Linked DNA regions of Danio rerio. The protein of the gene in region 1 interacts with the protein of each later gene in a pairwise test. Links are inferred from orthologs where the notes say so. Each region holds a gene or a part of one and is shown in the gene's direction. Other genes may lie near its edges.

Region 1 (3,517 bases):
TTAGGTTCTGTTCCAGTCCGACAAAGTGCAGTGGTGTCAGTCCCAGAAACCAGCAGTACAAAAAAAGCAGATGTAATCGATCTCACACTAGAGAGCTCGTCTGATGATGAAGAGGATGATCCTCCTCTGAAGAAGCGCTGTATATACATGTCAAAGGCTGAGGAGATGCACAGCAAAGGGTTTGTTTGTGTTGATTTACTAAAATCAAATCAAATGATCAGACAAATCTGATCGAATGTGTCTTTTTCCACCATCTTAAGTGGGTATTTCACCCTAAAATGAAAGTATGGTTCACTAAATACTATGGAGTCAATGGATTACCTGTTTTTAAGATTTTTTAAAAATATTTTGTGTTTAACAGAAGAATGAAACTCTTAACAGGTTTGTGACAAAGTGAAGGGTTGAGTGAAGGATTACAGAATCTTCAGTTTTGGGTGAACTATCCCTTTAAGTGTTGGAGTTTTGTGTATACATTTTAAAGAAGCCCAGAACTGTACACTAAATGCAAATTATTCATTGTGGTGGTGGGAAAACTTGAAATACTAGCAAATAAATTAAATAAATGCTATTTATAAACCATTGCAAGTAGCTTGAACAGTGTTGGGGGTAACTCATTACAAGTAATGTGAGTTACATAATAATCTTTCTAAGTGACGTGTAAAGTCACGCATTACTTTTAAAAATCAGTAATAATATTTGAGTTACTTTTTGAAAATAGTAATGCAAGTTAATTTTTAGTTTAATTAATTTGCTTTAAAAAAAATAAATAGCTGAAATAAAATGAACGTAGTCACATTGAATCCTGTTCTCAATGAGAGAACAGGCAGAAATGAAGATGGCAAAGCCTTATATTTTGCGATGGAAGTATTCTTAAGTAAGAAGACAAAAAGTACAAAAGTAGAAAACACATTGCTTTAGGTTTTCATTAATCTAAATACAGCATCTAGAGCTCTCGGTCAGGGAGTTTTTTAATGTGTTTTATAAAGGTAAATGAAGGATATACAGAGTGTTGTTCATTGCAGAGCTCCTCCATTAAAAAAAACCCTGCAAGTTCTGAAACATATCAAGCCTCATCCAAGTTAGAAAAAAGTAACTCAAAAGTAACGTAACGCATTATTACCATAAAAAGTAGCTGAGTAACACAACTAGATACTTTGTTGTTGAGTAAATCAATATTGTATTGCATTACTTTCTAAAGAAGCTTTCCCCAACGCTGACTGTGAATATATCAAATCTTTAAAAATGAAAGTGTATTATGTTCTGTTGCACTCTAAGAGCCAAAATGTTTCAAAGGGCAGATGCTGCAGCTCATTTTCATAATGACCAGCACAGCAAATTAGCCTGCCAAACAAAGCCAATGATAATCAGCTGTGGGTAGTCCACTTACGTCACGGATGCAAATTGTATCTTTCATTTGGACGTAAAATATTAGAGCAATTACCAGTTAATTTACTACAGCAAACCTTGGTAAACTTAGTTGCTCAATTGATGTAAATGCTGGCTTTCCATAAATTTGCATTTGAAAGGGAAGCCCCTACAATTGCATTTAAGTGCACACATTTTCATCTTTTTATTCTAAATCCCATCAGCAGTATTTTTAGCACTTTAGCTGTTTTTCCTGTTTAACAGTTGTAATGTTTTGATTCCTTATATTTTAGCGTTTTGACTTACCAGCCATCAACTGTTCGGGTGCCAAATGTCCAGTCGCTGGACACCTCATACCTGACCTCCTCAATAGCGGACTACTCTGTTCCATTCCACCATTCCTCCTTGTCCACTATTCCCACAGATATGCAAAGTACGCACTTGTCCAGTCTGCCAAGAATGCTTTTAATCAGGCTTTAGCTTTAACATGAATACTAACTTTTGTCCTACTGTACACATCTTTCCCAAAGGTCTTGACTTATTTTCTCTGATTCAAGGGGATCCTCAGGTATGTTCTTTAAAAGCAATGCTGGGATTGCATGCGGTATGATTTCACAGCTGTTAACCACTTGTTTTCTTTATGGTCTCTTCAGCAGCATTTCAGAGGGCCCATATTTTTAGACAGCCTCTCCAGCAGCCTTCAGAGTGCCACCACCAGCGCCAGTCTGGTTTCCTCATCGGCTCAGTACGAGACAGCAACCCACAGCAGCAGCTCGAGTCATGAGACAGGAGTCATCACTGGAGGATCTTCAGGTCTATCAGACATTATCTCCCTGGACTGAATGTTAGCGCAGCGTGATCAGCCAGTCACAAAACAAACTGCATTCGAGGCAAGCAAAGAACAATTCTACCTTTTGAATATGGACCTCAAGAATCTTGTTTTACGAGGACTGCCATGAAGGTCTCTGAATGATGTATCTTGGTCAGCAACAATGCTGTTTTAAATTTCAAATCTGAATCAAGCGGTTGTCTCCTGAATTGGGGAATCTATGAGTTAAACAATGACTCTTCGCAAAGCAAAATAAATGGCATAACTAAGTGGACTGGAAAGCTCAGACACATAAAAAAAACAGCACTCTAGTCTCAGTCACTCTTGTGTTGCGTCAACGGATCTGCAGTTGAAATGGAATGAGGTTTTCAGCGGCAGCTCATTTTAGGTTTCGTCTATTTCAGCAGTGCAATTATTTTTGTTACAATAAAAAGCAATAAAAAATGTTTGTTGTATATTACGAGGTTCACTTGTCTGATATTAAGGCTTTTTAAAGTTTTTCATTTGTTTGTGGTTATTCTTTACGGAGCCATCAGATTTGGAATCTAATTTTATAAGGAAGTTGTTTTTGATATCTCGACACATCTAACATATTCCCATTAGAAACTGTCATTTGTAACTGACGTTTGTCTAATTTTATGGATTTTGGATGGGATTTTGGATGGGATTTTGGATTTATGGATTTTGGATGGGAAACCTGCAGCTACATGTGTAATAAAAATGAAGCAACAAAATCCTTCAATGTTTTGATATAGGAAATGAATCGCACAATGCAAGCGTATGTTTTGTCTTCAATATCAGACTTTATTGCTTATGGCAATTTACCTAATAGACATGAGTTGATCTTATTGAATTGTGAGCTGTACAGCGAGCTGAAGGCATGTGAGGAGTTGTTTATTTCTTTTAGTTCCTCCTTGTCATATAATAAAGATGATCATATGATGGATGTAAAAAAACAACAACAACTAATAATGTGCTGTAAATGTTGATACAGTGTTTTATTGTCCTTTCCGGTCAGGGCTGAAGTTTTATTTATGCGTGTAGCTCTCCACTAAAGATGGCACAGGCAGAACTGTTTAGACTCTTGGGTTCTTTGCCAGAGTTCGAGATGATACATATACATCCTAAAACATGTAAACCAATACACAGTGATAAGAGCGCTATTTCATGTTCATCTGGAAAAATATATTTTAAAGTTGACTTATTAAGTCCAGATAGCAGTGTTGTATTGGCTTTACTTTATGGACACATCCACTCATGTTTAACGTGCTCAGATTCTGTTTGCTGCTGATTTATTTATGTGCAGCTTTGAATATTTAATTT
Region 2 (4,568 bases), on another chromosome or scaffold:
AAATGTAACTTATTTACTCAATAAGTAATTAATTACTTGACTCCATTTCAAAATCTGCCTAATGAAATTGAACCCTTAAAACGGCAGGTGTCATCACACTTATTCCTGGAGGGCCGGTGTCCTGCAGATTTTAGCTCCAACTCTAATCAAGCACACCTGAACAAGCTAATCGAGCTCTTACTACGTATGCTCGAAACATCCAGGCAGGTGTGTTGAGGCAAGTTGGAGCTAAACTCTGGAGGGACACTGGCCATCCAAGACCAGTGTAGCAGTCGATTCTGGTTCCCCCTCTACAAAGCAAGTCCGCTAACAGAGTCTGCAGACACAACCCCAACACAACTAGGTGTACGGAAAGCCAAAATGGACATTGCTTTCATGTCTTGCAATGCCAAAGTAGCTTAATAAAATGAATCTAACTCTCCCATGAAGTATTTTTTTTTGGTTCTTGTTAGTATTATTAACTTTTTTTTTAAATGTTTGAGTTTATGCACCCTAGTTCAATATTGCGTGAAGGCCTACAGTTATATTAGTCCTTTTCATTTTCAAGTTCAGAAAAAATATGTACTTTTAGAACCACTAGTCTGCTTTCTGTACACCCAGTTGTGTTTAGGTGTCTGCAAAAGCTGTACGAACACCCTTTGTAGAGGGGGAACTGGAAATCCAGAAGGGAACAGAATCGACTGCTACACCGGGAGTGGTGACCCCTGCCTTAAAACCTTTATAAAACCTTAGCTTTATAAAACTTAAAAAACAAACGCCTAACTTTTAAACAACACATTTATCATTAAAAAACCAAAATCTTTTAAAGTAATTGTACAATATTTGATACATATACTAACATTATTTCTGAAAGGATCTAGCCAAATATATTTTTGTATGTAATTTTTATATTTTTAATATATTTTTAAAATGACTAAACTTATTATTTTTAAGAAAACAGATCCAACAGAAGTCTTGAATTTAGTTTTAATCTCTATTTTATTGGCAAAATTGTACATACACAAACAGGAATTGGCTAAATCATCTCCCACATTAACAGTTTTCTGTATCTAGTTTGACTTTATTTCTGTGAAATGATTGAAAAGCAAAAAAATCTGAGATATGTATTAACTATTATAACACTTGTTTGATTCCCCTGTCAGTTTTTAAAATCATTGGATGTAGAATTTCTGTACACTATGCTTTGTGTATTCATTTTAATTAGTTATTTTTATTCATTATTATATATTTATCTATAAATATTTTTTTACGATTATTAAATTAGTTTTTTTGTTTCATCTTTTATATTGTGTTGTATGTTTGTTCCTGATAGTTATGCAATACCAAAATAGGCTAAAACACCTCAATGAAAATAGCAAAATAATAAAACAACAGCACTAAACCAATGCTGTCCTATAATGTATTTAGAGTCACAATGCTGAGTTTATAATCTTACATAATAACCACTTTATAATATTGAAAAATATGTGCAATTTTGAAAAGAAAAATGTAAATGCGGATGAAAAGAAGGTGCTTTGGCGGTTTCTGTGATCGATTCTTTTGCCTAGGGAATCTCTTGAAATCTGCGATCGACCCTTCGGGTATGCTGGTTTTCAAGATGGCGCCGCTCTCATCGTCCACACGTGAGGTGTTCAGTGAAGCAGTTCGGGCTGTTTTGGAAACTTGGCCGGTGCTGCAAGTTAGTAAACTAATAGCATTTGTGATCGGAAATACATATCATATGATACCATGTCTGCAAAATCTATTACGTAAGCTTCAGTCTGATATGAATCGGCAAGCAGACTGATATCAGGATGCGCTTCACAGTGTAAACATGTCTGTGTCGCGATATTTCTTTCAGCTGCTCGTGTATATATACATATACATACATATATATATATATATATATATATATATATATATATATATATATATATATATATATATATATACATATATATATATATATATATACATATATATGTGTATATATATATATATATGTATATATATATATATATGTGTATATATATATATATATACATATATATACATATATATATATACACATATATATATATATATATATATATATATACACATATATATATATATATATATATACATACATATATATATATATACATATATATATATACATATATGTATATATATATATATATATATATATATATATACATACATATATATATATATATATATATATATATATATATATATATATATATATATATATATATATATATACATACATATATACACACACAGTAAATAATGTGTTTTGTTATTAGATAGCGGTGGACAACGGCTTCGGTGGAGCGTTCAGTCAGCAGAAGGCGGAGTGGATGGTGGACGCGCTGCAGCAATACTTCACCGACAACGGTCAGAGCGCTGCACTCAACACCTTAGCAACCGCCAAGAAACCCACGACTGAACATTCTGTCATAATTTTCTCACCCTTCACTTGTTCCAAACCAGTTTGATTTTTTTATTGCGTTAAACACAAAATAAGTTATTTTGAAGAATGTTTGAAACCAGTAACCACTGACTATCCCAGTGTTTTTTCGTACTCTGGGTGTCAATGGTTTTCAGGACTCTTCAAAATATCTTTTGAAGCCACTCGAGTGTGAGCTGGTGAGGGTGTGTAAATTGTTCTATTTTAGTGAATTGTCTCTTTAAGAGCTGACAGATGGTCTGTTTGTGTCCACAGGTGATCTCCAGCAGGATGAGGTGGAGGACTTTATCTCTGAGCTCATGAACAATGAGTTCAACACAGTGGTGGATGATGGCAGTCTGCCTCAGGTCTGTTGTCTTTTGGTCTTGACATGAGAGATCTGAATGAAAGCTAGCTGGAGGTGTGTGTGTGTGTGTGTGTGTGTGTGTGTGTGTGTGTGTGTGTGTGTGTGTGTGTGTGTGTGTGTGTGTGTGTGTGTGTGTGTGTGTGTGTGTGTGTGTGTGTGTGTGTGTGTGTGTGTGTGTGTGTGTGTGTGTGTGTGAGAGATTATTATCATCTACCTTCCTTTCTATATTTTATCTATTTATATCATACTATCTGTTGTTCTATCTATACATCTATCCATTGTTCTATATATCTTTTTTATTCTATCTATTATTCTATCCATTGTTTGATTAATTTATTGTTTTGATCCATCTAACATTCTGTCTATTATTCTGTCTATATATCCATGTCATTCTATCTGTTGTTCTATCCATATATCTGTCATTCTGTCTATTGTTCTATCAATCTTACATAGACATAGCTATGTCTCTATCTCTATCCATCCATCCATCTATCCATCGTTTTATTGATCTATCGATCTTTCATTCTGTCTATCATTTTATCTGTTGTTCTATATATTTATTATTCTATCTGTCGATCATTCTATTATTGTTCTATCTTATCGTTCTATCCTCATTTTTCATTCTGTCTATCGTTCTATTGTTTTCTCTGCAGAGCTATGTCGTTCCATCTGTATATCTATCATTCTAGCTATCGTTTTATCTATTGCTCTGTTGTTTTAGTCTATCGTTCTATCCTTTGATAGATCTATAACGTTATATCTATAAGTCTATTCATATGTCTATGTTATTCTATATATCATTCTCTGTATCTATTGTTTTATCGATCTATCATTCTATTTATACATCTACAGTTGAAGTCAGAATTATCAGCCCCCTTCAATTTTTTTTCTTCTTTTTTTAAAATAATTTTCAAATGATGTTTAACAGAGCAAGGACATTTTCACAGTATGTCTGATAATATTTTTTCTTCTGGAGAAAGTCTCATTTGTTTTATTTCGGCTAAAATAAAAGCTGTTTTTAATTTATTAAACACCATTTTAGGGGTAATATTATTAGCCCCTTTAAGCTAGACTTTTTCTCGATTGCCTACAGAACAAACCACCGTTATACAATAACTTGCCTAATTACCCTAACCTGCCTAGTTAACCTAATTAACCTAGTTAAGCCTTTAAAAGTCACTTTAAGCTGTATGAAAGTGTCTTGAAAAAGATCTAGTCAAATATTATTTACTGTCATCTTGGCAAAGATAAAATAAATACATTATTACAAATGTGTTATTAAATTATTATGTTTAGAAATGTTGAAAAAATCTCTCCGTTAAACAGAATTTGGGGAAAACATAAACAAGCGGTTTAATAAGTCAGGGGGGCTAATAATTCTGAGTTCAACTGTATATCATTCTATCTATATATCAATTGTTCTATAAATCTATCATTCTATCGGTCCATCTATATATTGTTCTATTTATGTATATAAATATTCCATCTATCTCATTCTATATCATTCTATCTATATCATTTTATTTCTGTATCAGTCTATCAGTCTTATTCTATCAGTCTTGCTCTATTGGTCTCGTTCTATCAGTCTTGCTCTATCTAGCGTGTTCTATTTAGCTCGTTCTATCTATAATTCTATCTGTTGTTCTATCCCGTTAAAGACACAATTATAAACGCTCCTGTGAAAGGACTTAATTATTTCGCAAGTGATCATGTTCATGTTTTGTATGCATTTTTGTTTTGTTGATTTGATCACTTCGTGTCCTCATT

The links.
Region 2: the proteins of pias2 (region 1) and tsr2 interact in binary tests that used the Homo sapiens proteins (3 or more experiments, as listed by UniProt). The two-hybrid records come from large-scale screens. The link is inferred for Danio rerio from reciprocal best matches to the Homo sapiens genes PIAS2 and TSR2.

Annotation. Positions count from the first base shown.
Region 1 is NC_133180.1:42,375,711-42,379,227, forward strand, and holds the end of pias2 (E3 SUMO-protein ligase PIAS2), read left to right. Parts: intron 1-4; coding exon 5-179; intron 180-1,658; coding exon 1,659-1,798; intron 1,799-1,895; coding exon 1,896-1,933; intron 1,934-2,018; coding exon 2,019-2,207; 3' UTR 2,208-2,928; downstream 2,929-3,517. UniProt on the Homo sapiens protein: Functions as an E3-type small ubiquitin-like modifier (SUMO) ligase, stabilizing the interaction between UBE2I and the substrate, and as a SUMO-tethering factor.
Region 2 is NC_133183.1:9,897,728-9,902,295, reverse strand, and holds the start of tsr2 (pre-rRNA-processing protein TSR2 homolog), read left to right. Parts: upstream 1-1,584; 5' UTR 1,585-1,597; coding exon 1,598-1,678; intron 1,679-2,291; coding exon 2,292-2,382; intron 2,383-2,710; coding exon 2,711-2,802; intron 2,803-4,568. UniProt on the Homo sapiens protein: May be involved in 20S pre-rRNA processing.